3 linked regions of the Arabidopsis thaliana genome follow. The protein of the gene in region 2 interacts with the protein of the main gene of each other region in a pairwise test. Each region holds a gene or a part of one and is shown on either strand. Other genes may lie near its edges.

Region 1 (3,596 bases), on a different chromosome or scaffold from region 2:
GGAGACGTGCAACTAAGAAGCCTTACTCAAGGTCGATTGTCGGTGCTACTTTGGAGGTTATTCAGAAGAAGCGAGCAGAGAAGCCTGAAGTTCGTGATGCCGCTAGAGAAGCTGCCCTACGGTTTGTTTCTTTCCCGAAGACAGTCACTATATACATCAATTTTTTTTTGAAACTGAAATGTGATTGATTCAAAGCTAATCTGATGATTATGCAGTGAGATCAAGGAGAGAATCAAGAAGACCAAGGACGAGAAGAAGGCAAAGAAGGTCGAGTATGCATCAAAGCAACAGAAGTCACAAGTGAAGGGAAATATCCCCAAGAGTGCTGCACCCAAGGCTGCTAAGATGGGTGGTGGTGGAGGCAGACGTTGAATGGAGCTATAGAGTAGCCCACTCTTCTCTCTTCACTTATCTTTCTTTCTTGTTTTGACATTGTTTTGTTTTGTCAGCCATTTTTTAGTTTTGCACCAGATCTAATATATTCAGTTTATGAAAACTTTTTGTTTGGTATCAATCCCCTTGTGTTTTACTCGTAGATCCAAAAACTGCTAAATAGAATTTTCAACTTGGCTTATTCTAGGACATTATTAGTGGTCTGAGCTAAATTGAGCTTTGGTTAAGCATTGATTATGGATCTAGAGTTCTTGAATCACGATGTTTCTTCATTAACTTCAACTTAGTAAAGAACCCTTTACACGAAAATCACTTAAACAATACTTAATACAAAGGAAAACAGAATCAGCCATAGAAATTGTTGCTTGTTTGGGACTAAAGCTACAAATTTGAGCCATTTTGGAGATATAACTGAAGTGGAACTTATATACTATTGCCTCAGCTGCAGGCTTTTTCCCAGGTTTGTTTCTTCTTGCATGAACTATCCTCTCTTATCATTGATTTCAGTTGTATTAGCTGTTGAAACAAAGTGAAAGTAACTCAATGGATTGTAACTCGAAAGCTTATTTATTAAGTTAGTATTGATCACTGGAGTAATTACCTCTTCTTGTAGCAATTCCTTTTCTCTAGAGACAATATCAAACTCTTGTCTTAGTGATTCATAGAGATGCTCAAGTTGTTTGTTCTTCCACCTGGCTTTCCTGTTCTGGAACCAAACCGCAATCTGTCTCGGCTGCAGCCCCAGTTCTTTGGACAGCTTCATCTTCCTGTCCGGATTCAGCTTCATCTTCCTGTCCGGATTCAGCTTTATCTCTTCTTGGAAACTTCTCTCGAGGAACTTTAGCTGCTCGCTCGTCATCTTCTTTTTTTTCTTCTCCTGTCCATTAAAACTGTTGCTTTCTTCTCCATAGCCACTCTCTACCATTGCTAGAGGAACATGAAGTATATCTTGTTGTGCACCCATCATTGTACCTAAACATCTGTTGTCTTGGTTTCCTACAAATTCAATACAAGACAGAGAGAGACTTGTAAAGCGACATACAGTTGAGTGAATGATTAAGCATTAAGCATATAAACTAGCTCTACTAAAACCTAGTACTATGGATGCATGTTACCTGAAAAATGGTCAAAGTTATAGAAAGGAGAGATGAAGCTGGAAGAAGACGCGCCATCGATGAAGGAGCTGCTCCAATATTCCATCTTCTCTTCTTCTTTTTTTTTACCTCTTTTGTCTATCTCTGCTTACAACAATCACTTTCAAGAGACTATTTTTTACCTAAACAAGGAAATGAGCAACTTTGGGTGTTTGATATGGGTGTATCTTTATCACTATATGCATATGTTAGAACATGCAGGAACATTATATATAGATAAGTAAATGTGGTTGAAAACGCTAGGGCTTCTGTTTTTAACTTCGGGTAACTAATTGGTCACTATCAAGTAAGATAAATATATGTGTAAATGAATGGTTTCATTAGTCTGACCGGTAACAAATAGTACTCCGAACGATGAGGGTAAGAATAGGCGGTGTTGAGCAAATGCATTATACGATACAAAACGAGCTAAAAAAAGTTAATGGTGATTATTTAGTTTGAAATTTTTGTTAAAAATTGATTATTATTCTCATATTCTCACATGACCTTGTATGTTTCCATAAGTAAGATATTTACATAAGTAATAACGTAGGTATTTCGTATTATACGTGACCAATTAATGTGGATTTTAGTATATATAAAAGAATAAAATAAAATGAAAGTAATGTGAGTTGAGAAAGGAACAGTAAGAGTAAGAGATAGAGGTGAAAAAGAAAAGAGAGAATGGTCCAGATTCTACATTTGTACAAATGTCTATCACTTTCTCTACCTTAATTAACCAACCAATCTGACATATATGAATTCAAACTTCTACTCTCAATCTGTAATATAGCCTCCAGTTTTCATCTCTTTGTATGTATATGTATTTGTAAAGTCCCCACAATCTTTATTTAACACTGTGGAGCTGCAGGGTGCTACTCCAACAGATAGATCAGAAGGGTCCAATTCTGATCCTGACAAAATTTGGGAGCACACAGTGCACTAGTGAAAATAGTATCATCATATCGATCTACGTGTTTTTTTGGTATGATCCGGCGATAAAGTATAGTTAGAAATTGAATGATGCAACTTATCTTGAAGAAATGGTAAATGCTTATATGGTTAGATAAAGATGAAGTTTCTAGCACTAGTTATGTTTCTCTAAATCAAATTCTACGGTTTAAACGTTAATTGTGACTGACATAAGTATATTTTGTTCCATTTCCAAAGCACGTAACAACTACATCAGCCAATTTTTGATGTGATTTCAAGATGGGGATATTTTTTCTGTATCAAGTCATTGGATTGAATAAAAATAAAAGATTTTCAAAGAAAAAAATCTTAACCGGTGATCCTAATTTTTTTAAACTGACTTTTTTTTAATAATTTATTTCTCCCTTGTGTATTAGTTTATACATCTTTACCAGAAACAAAACTGTATCTAAATCATTATTAATTTTTCATAAGCATTTGGAAATATTGTTAATTATATATATTTTTTATATAACATGTGGTATCGAAAACACGTATAAGTTGGGAAACGGAAAAAGAGCCACTAGTCCCATATGATTTTGCTTAAAATAAAACAATGTAAACCAAATAAATTTGTAATAGATTATAATCATAAAAATTGGTTTAACTTTTCGTGTTCACATATGTTAATGAAAGCGAACAAAAATCCTACAAACGCTAGAAGATAAGAGTAATTAGTTAAAGGCTCTTTTGAATCCCGATCGAAGATATATTTGATCATCAATGTTGGAAGGGATCAATAATGAGAATGTAACTACAATAAAAGTTACATATAAACAGAATAATTAACCATCAGGAGCATGATGGATAATCAAAGATGCCAAAGAGATCTACTTATTATCTGCTAGTTCTAAGCTAAATCAAGAAGCATCTCTGTTAGAAGCTGAAGGTATAAAGCCTGTTAAAATCTATTGAATTCAACACTTTGGGATCGAGATACGTAACTATTATTGTCACAATCCAATGAATAGAGAGAGTGTAGAAGTGATAAATTGAGTGAGTAAATACTAAATAGTACTACGAAGAAAGCTATATTATGATAATCTAAAAACGAGGACCATATAGTATAAAGTTACAGAGAAATAAAGCTCAAGAGAG
Region 2 (3,935 bases):
CCACGCCCTAAATTAACACTATATAGCACTTTAATAATAATAGTTAGATCCCAATTATATAATATATACTTATTTGTAGTTTGCACTTTAAGAATATCGAACACTTGAGCATATATACCAAAAACGGATAGTGGGAATGTAAGGATGATAAAGAAATGGATTAATGAGGAAATTAAAATGAATTATCCGATGAATCTTTTGTTAATTAGACACCAAGATAACTAATCATTGCAAAATATATTATTAGAATAATTAATATATAAAACAAAACCTGTCTCTTTTCTCAAAGAATAAAGAGAGATTTATGAAAAGGACACCTAGATCTTAGTTTGATCGCATATTAAATTAAGCGACAAAGTACTCTTCAAGATAAGAAACCATCAAATAATATTAAATAATTAACTAAATTGCAATAGTTTATTTATGTTTGGGACTCACATTTTAGGGTTCGTTTGATTACCTAAATTGACCTATAGTGTTGTGACTAATTCGGGTGATTAGTTCATATAATCTTTCCATTAGTGGAAAAGTATTATGAAACCTTTGGGAACGTTACAATTTAAAAAGACAAAATGCTTTTAAGATAAGAAGCCAAAAAACATATTATTAAAAAAAACATTAAAGTTATAAAATTTTCCTCATTAGGGTTCATTAAATTAACCAAAATTGACTTATTATAACATAATCCAATTTGTTGATATAAACTTACTTTAAATGGAAAAATAAGACAACGTCGTGGTAATGAAATTATAATAAAATTGGAAAATTAAAAAAGAGCTAAAAGAGTTTAATTAATATTAATAAAACGTATTAACGATAATAATACCAGTGCTTACTCTCTATGATCTAAAGCTAAAAACAAAGCTTAAGCTTCCATTATTATAACTCTTTCCCTGCAAAACGACATGATGTTTTCTTCTTCACGACGAAGACGACGAGGCGTTTACGTTTCCGCCACCATCAGCTCCTCCACTATCACTCTCAAATCTCCCACCACCACCGTCACCGTCGTTAGCTAAACCGCGAACTCCATCATCGTTACTGTTCTCGCCGCCGATACCGTTATCGTTTCTCTGCACGGTGGTTGCTCCTCCGCCGGAGAATTTGAAGGAGTTTTTGTTATTATGCATCCAAACTTTGAGAACACCTTTATCAACTCCGATCTCACGGCAAAAATCACGAACTTCGTCTTCGTCACGTTTCTGAATCTTCCAACCGATTCGATCGGCGAATTCATGCATCTTCTCTTTCTGATTTGAGCTAAACTTCGTCCTGAATCGCTTCCTCGAGCCAGGCGTGGCGGAGAGATGGTTAGCCGCGGCGGCGAAGTTTAGATCTGAGAACGGTGCGGTTTTATTATTACCGGAGAGAGCTAAAAGCATGTAGGAGGAAGAGATAGGCGGCGGAGAAGATGAATTAGGACTACGTGGTAACGGAGGAGCTAGCGGAGGAGGAGGATGATGACGGTGATGAGGCTGATACTCAATTGCGGCGGTTGTTGTTGAAGATGGAAGAAGAGACGGTGGTGGAACGGCGGAGGAATCGTCAGTTTCACGGCGGTGGAAGTTACGGTGACAACCACAAGCTGCACACTTGAGAGAAGTTGGATCGGAAGGTGTTGACGAAGGAGACGGCATAAATTCGCCGCAACCGTCAAGCGCGTGACCACCAATCGCCGCCGCGTGGTTCTTGAGACATTCTTTGTAAGTGACTTTGTTGTTGTTGTGGTGGTGGTGGTGGTGGCGTTTGATGATTCCGTTACTGAAAGAGATTGGTTTAGCTGGTTGGATCCGGGTCGGAGTTTCGGATTCGGGTTCTGGTGATTTTGGAGTCATATCCATTGATCTAACTTCAAGCATCTTTATGTTTTTATTTTCTTGAAAAAAATCAAGAAAATATTAGGGTTTATGTTAAGCTTACAAAAAAAGAAAAGTTTGATATTGAGAAATGAAGAAGAAGATGGATAAAAAGAGATTAAATCAACTTTTGAAGATCATGTTTTTTGTAATAAGTTTAAGAAAATAAACTTTAGAGGAAGAAGATGTGTTATAAGATGATGATAGTGAATCTGCTCTGGTTGATGAATGTTGCTAAGAGAGAATAAAATAATTTAATAGGGAGAGATATAAAAATGTTAATAAATGTGAATAATAAATATATTTAAAATAAAAGGACAGAGCTTGAAGATGTTTAACAGAGAAAGGTAGGGTTTGATGATTTAACTATGGTTAAATGTATGGTTAAAAGTGGGACCTGTAATAGGGAGTGGGGAAATATATATAGAGTAATAAATGTCTTAAACCTAAAGACAGTCCAATTATAATTAATATTCTCATGCATTGTGACACTTCTTGTTTTTTTTTGAAGTTGGCTTCTTTTTACTTTATTCTAATATTTGTTCCTTCTGTTAAAATATGTTTAGCATTTTGTATATTTGACTATTACAATGTAATTACCGAACAACTTTGTAAAAGTTTACTTATACTATTAGGTATTATTGTAAACTAAATAGTTGTTTTTCACAAAATAATATTAAAAAAAATACTTATTCTGTTTTGTTGTTTAAAGATTTTTTCCAAAATAAGTATTGTTCTAAATTTTCAATGTAAAATCTATAAAGTATGAATCAGTTTGGTTTTTAAAATATAATATATATTAATAATTTATATAAAAATATTTAAAACGATATTATTATGAATGGAGGAAATATATGTTACCAGCAGGTAACTATATTGAAAAATGAATAATCTCAAATAAATTCAGTGGTTATCATTTGAAGTCATTCAGCCACCTTTAAAATAAATTCAGCCATCATCAGTTAAGGGGTTGATTGGTTCTCCTTCTACTACATGCAAACGCATCATTTACATGTGGTAACAATTGTTAGTGATTGACAATAATCATATAAATCGCGGGATACTGCTCGGATCGCTCGATATCAATACATTTCAAAAACTCCTTCCCGCAAACGTTTGTAGTTGTGGATGGTAGCGGTTGAATTAAAATATTAAAATAATAATAAATAATCAACATATTTGTAATTAAGATAAATATATATAATTCTGTATATATCTTTTCATATTTGTATCTAATCCTATATATTATATTTATTTTGGATCTTTTTTATTTATTTAATTATTATTGCATCTAGTCATAAGATTTCTGCAAATGCATCTATTTTGAAACGTTAAATTAGTCGTTTAAAACGCTTGAAACCACAATATCTCGCTTCCGCAAATTTCCGCAACCGCAAGCGAAACCACAGCCCCGTCCGCTGCAATTAAACCAGTCATGTCTTTAGTCATATGCAGTTAAATTCTTCGGTTACCATAAATAGATCCTATATCAAATTCGGTCTTTTGGGTTTAAAACTAAGACCTAATGTCTAAAAACTACCGTCATTCAAGGTCATAGACTAAAATCTAAATTAGTATCGGAACTTACTAAATATATGTAATTTATATTTATTATTTAAAATATTCAAATTTTGATGATTCTCTGTCATGTGCGGTGGTGTGTACAAACAATCAAGCAAACGCCATGGGCCAAGGCCAATGTGTTCGTACCAAGCGACCATCGCCGAGAAAAACGAAGTCGGTGGCCAAAGTTTCTTCTGGGCGATCACATCAAGAGCATCACAACTTGCTCCTTCTTTCGAACAAGCAAAATACGGCTAAAACCAAAAAAAATAAAGAAAAACATTTCAGAACAAAGCCAATGATGACTAAACCATAGTGATGAGAATAATCACTATACAAATGAATTGGCAAATAAGAAGGTCGTATTGTACGCATGTTTTTGGATTCTGAAATCACAAATTATTTTCCAACGAATGATTGCATCATTGGACCGAGAAATTCAACCTATCGATCGGTAACCAAACACGAAAAATATGATCCTTCGATTTTTTTTTTTAATTATCTCTCAATCGGTTC
Region 3 (4,065 bases), on a different chromosome or scaffold from region 2:
TGTTATTAATTATTATTATTTTTTAATTAAAGGTCCGAATGGCGACTGCGTTTTGCGGTACGGAAGAAGTGCGGTGCGGTTCAAATAGTAACAAAAATATATAAATACATATGTATATGTAGAGATTTTGACACTGTTGCGGTGCGGTTTTGGGTACGGTGTATGTCACCATTCATAGCCTAAGAGATGGCTTATATGAATAACAAATTTGGAGTCGTCGGGCAATGTCAGTGTCGATGAAAGGGTAAAAAGTGTTGGGTCCATTTTCAGAAAGAGAATGACCACTTTCCAACCCTATTTGTTTGCATCCTCTCCTCGGAATCTGTAAATTGATGCTCTTTCTTTCACACACTTCACATTTTACTTCAACCGTGCCATTTAACTATATGATTTCTACAGTTTATTGTACCGCTAATCGTAATTAATGATCTATTTTTAAGATCATGTCTTCTATTTTTGTTCATCTTATAGACTTAATTATGACATAAGCATAATTTGTTTCATGGAAAAGTCTTTTTGGGTGGGTTTTTAAAATTTTTATTTCTTAGAGTTTTCTGGATATTAGTTGTACGATATAAAAGCACATGGTTCAGACTTTTTTTAATGTCTAATCATATGGCCCATATGATTGATTAATTATCATATAATATGATGAATATTTCCCCCATTAATTCTCTTACATCACATTACCCAAAAAAACTACTAGCTTAGTTGGTGCATATAGACTAAATATAGATTCTTGAAACATGAATTGGTTCATCTGACCACTTAAAGAAAACGAAAATTTTAATACAAACAAGAACAGATCGACCACATTCAATTGTATTGTTGCTGGTCAAGCCATGGCCAGAACCCAGACTGGTCATCAATTCCACAGAACATGTTACTGATACTGTTCTCTTCTTTCACCATTCTCTGTTCTGACGATGAATTCTGAAAAAACTGCATCGTTGTAGTTGTCGGTGGATGGCCTAGGGCGAATTGGCTATCGATCTCCGGTGGCCTGATGTCACCAGAAATGTTCTCACTTCTGTCACTACATGATCCTTCTGTTTCTTTGTTCAGATTGATTGATTCTATTGGTTCTCTGCTTTTCAATGCCATTACCTGCATAATTTACACAAACTATTTAAGAAAGAACGTAAAATTGCAAAATGATTCCAAATTATGTTTTGACCTAAAACAAATATATTCCAAATTATGAATTCGAAACTGAAAGAATAACATCAATAAAAAACAAAAAAGAGCATTGTTTTTATAAAATTCAACTAAAAAAGATTCATATTTTATGAAATATATGATTTAAAAAACAGAGTATTTAAGATTAAAAAAGAAACAGAGTACTTTTGTGTTATGAAGTTTCTGCTTTTACCTGAGCTTGAAGCTTTTGATTTTGAGTTTGAAGAACTTCGTTCTCATCTCTGAGACTTTCGAATTGACGCTTAAGCATGTCATAGTCTTTCTCAAGCTGCTTGGTTTTGGATCGAGCTCTTCTGTTTTGGAACCATATAGCAATTTGTCTAGGTTGCAATCCCAAGGCACGAGCTAGCTCTAATTTTCGATCTGATTCAAGTTTATTACCAAGCTCAAAGTCCTTCTCTAGTGCCTTCAATTGTTCCATGTTCAATCTCCTCTTCTTCTCTCCCATCTTAGATCCATCGTCTGAATATTCTTCATCTCCGTTCATATCTAGATTACAAAACCCTTGCACGTTGTTCATTGGAGATCTTTTACCTAGAAACCCTAAAAACAGAGAAGATCTTGAGAAGTAGAAAAAAAAAGGATTAGAAATTTTGAACAAAGGTGTTAATTGAGATGATGTACCATGGAAGTCTTGAAGAAGTTGAGGGTGATCTTCTTCTTCTTGGTGATGGTTTTGGAGACTGAAATTTTCAGGGAAGAAAGCTAAGCCATTATTATTACAAGACATGTCTCTTGTTGGTTGTTTTCTTCTTCTCCTCTCCACCACCTTGTCTTGGTTCAAAGTACAGAAAGAAAACTAAATAAAGAAGAAGAAGGATGGTGGTGAAATGAATTAGAAGACTGAGTATACACCACTTATAGGCTAAATACTAGCTAGATTAGAAAATTTGGTTTTATTTTGTTTATTATATGAGTATATAAAATAGGAGACAAGACTCAAAGCCGATGAGACAGAGAGGTAGACATGGGATGATTATAGTCTTTGGAGGGGTGGAATATGGGCTTTTGTATGTTTTGGAAAATCCCTAATTTTACTACGTTGTATCCGTTTTGGTAGATTACGGATATGTACTATGTAGTTTTTCATATCAAGTATTTTTAAAGATAATTCTTGTTTTTTACGAATAGAAAGACAGATATATCATAGTCATACTAATTATATATGTATATTTTTCTATTATAGAATTTTTGAAACGAAATTCATAATAATCTCCGGACATTGTGAAAGATAGCATATTCTTGCAATTTAAGATGTTTACAGTGGTCAACCATGATTGATATTACAGTGAATTGATTAGATTATGGTCACTCAATTTAATAGTAATTTTTTCAACCACTAGATTATCATAATTAATTTATTGTGAATATATTTAATTCAGATGTGTATAATTAAATATGTACCGTAATGAACAATTTGAGTATTTGTAACAAATACTTCAAATTTTGGGAGTTTATAGATCTAGATACTCTTACCACTTTCTCTTCAAAAAAAGAGTTGAATTTAAATATGATATGTAAAAAAAACTGATATTCTTAATGAAATATTTCAAAGTTGATATCTAATTAAAATTTCTTTTAACAGCATGCCCTACATAAGCATTTGGATGGTTGCATGCATAAGTGTTCAAGTCAATGGAATTTTATTTCTAACGAGAACTAAAACTAGTGATTTTGGTCGTCAAGAAGTATATGCAAGCAAACTCTTAGAGGCCCTACATGGTATCACTTGTCTATGTCTCAATGATATGAAATGAAAGCAAACTCTAAGGTCCTACATGGTAACTCTCACTAGTCTATGATATGATTAGACTTCTTCTTTTTAAAACCTTTTACAACATAACATGACTTTTTCTCTATGGTAGGTAAACATACTTTCGGGGGACACAAAAAGCTCTTCATCACCGCAGATTGTGTTTTGACACAAAGCCCATTTTATATGCGAGGCCGGTTTCTTCCTTCTTCTTCTTCTCTTTCTCAGGTCCCCCACTTATCAACTTTCTTAGACGTTTTGGTCGGTTTTATGATAAAATACTTTAATATAGGCCCAACTACTGTATAAATTGGTCTCCCTATCAAATCATTTTGTAATCAACAAGTCTATATTCTACAAGTTTAAATATTTTTGTTGAAACTATTTTATAAATTACCACGAGTTGTTCTTTTTTGTGTGTTTTAACCTCAATTGTATTTATCTAAAAGCATAAACTATTTATTCTATGAATTTTTTATGTTGCATGAGATATGAAAAGTGCAATTCAACGACATACAAACAAACGCATATAAATAAATATGCTCAATTTTTCATTTAGTATCAAAAGGTGTACACAAAATATATATTTTTTCATTTTTTTGCTTAATAAAAAATCACATTGCAAGCCTATTCCTTCTTAATGTATTATGCAATCTTAAATTGTAGTATACACATATGGCTAAGGCCAATTGTTGAAATGGAAAAACAACTTGTATATTTTCTTGAGTATTAGTTTTTTTGGGGGGACAAACTTGAGTATTGTTTAATGTTGGTATATATGTTTGCGAGAACAAGCCAAATCACACACTACAATAACAGAAAAAGAGGAGCTTTGCGGGACGAGTACGGGGATTGGCGAGGAAGTTTTGCCCTGAATTTAGGGCGGTGCACGGCTCCGTTAGCAGAGCTTTGGGGTGTGTACTACGGGTTGGTTATAGCTTGGGAGAAGGGTATAACGCGGCTGGAGCTTGAGGTAGATTCAAAATTGGTGGCTGGTTTTCTCACGACAGGGATAGAAGACTCTCATCTGTTGTCATTCCTAGTACGTTTGTGCTATGGCTTCTCATCAAAGGACTGGATAGTCCGAGTTTCGCATGTTTATCGGGAAGCTA

What was found.
Region 1: the proteins of HB34 (region 2) and HB22 interact in a two-hybrid assay, tested with the Arabidopsis thaliana proteins (one study listed by BioGRID).
Region 3: the proteins of HB34 (region 2) and AtHB23 interact in a two-hybrid assay, tested with the Arabidopsis thaliana proteins (one study listed by BioGRID).

The regions. Positions count from the first base shown.
Region 1 is NC_003071.7:15,347,324-15,350,919, reverse strand, and holds HB22 (homeobox protein 22), read right to left. Parts: upstream 1,710-3,596; 5' UTR 1,594-1,709; coding exon 1,509-1,593; intron 1,390-1,508; coding exon 995-1,389; intron 910-994; coding exon 832-909; 3' UTR 630-831; downstream 1-629. Other genes in the region: RPL24A (ribosomal protein L24), read left to right, coding at 1-121, 216-372. UniProt on the Arabidopsis thaliana protein: Probable transcription factor.
Region 2 is NC_003074.8:10,939,678-10,943,612, forward strand, and holds HB34 (homeobox protein 34), read right to left. Parts: upstream 2,157-3,935; 5' UTR 1,860-2,156; coding exon 921-1,859; 3' UTR 628-920; downstream 1-627. UniProt on the Arabidopsis thaliana protein: Putative transcription factor.
Region 3 is NC_003070.9:9,353,991-9,358,055, reverse strand, and holds AtHB23 (homeobox protein 23), read right to left. Parts: upstream 2,230-4,065; 5' UTR 1,931-2,229; coding exon 1,825-1,930; intron 1,744-1,824; coding exon 1,373-1,743; intron 1,108-1,372; coding exon 817-1,107; 3' UTR 554-816; downstream 1-553. UniProt on the Arabidopsis thaliana protein: Probable transcription factor.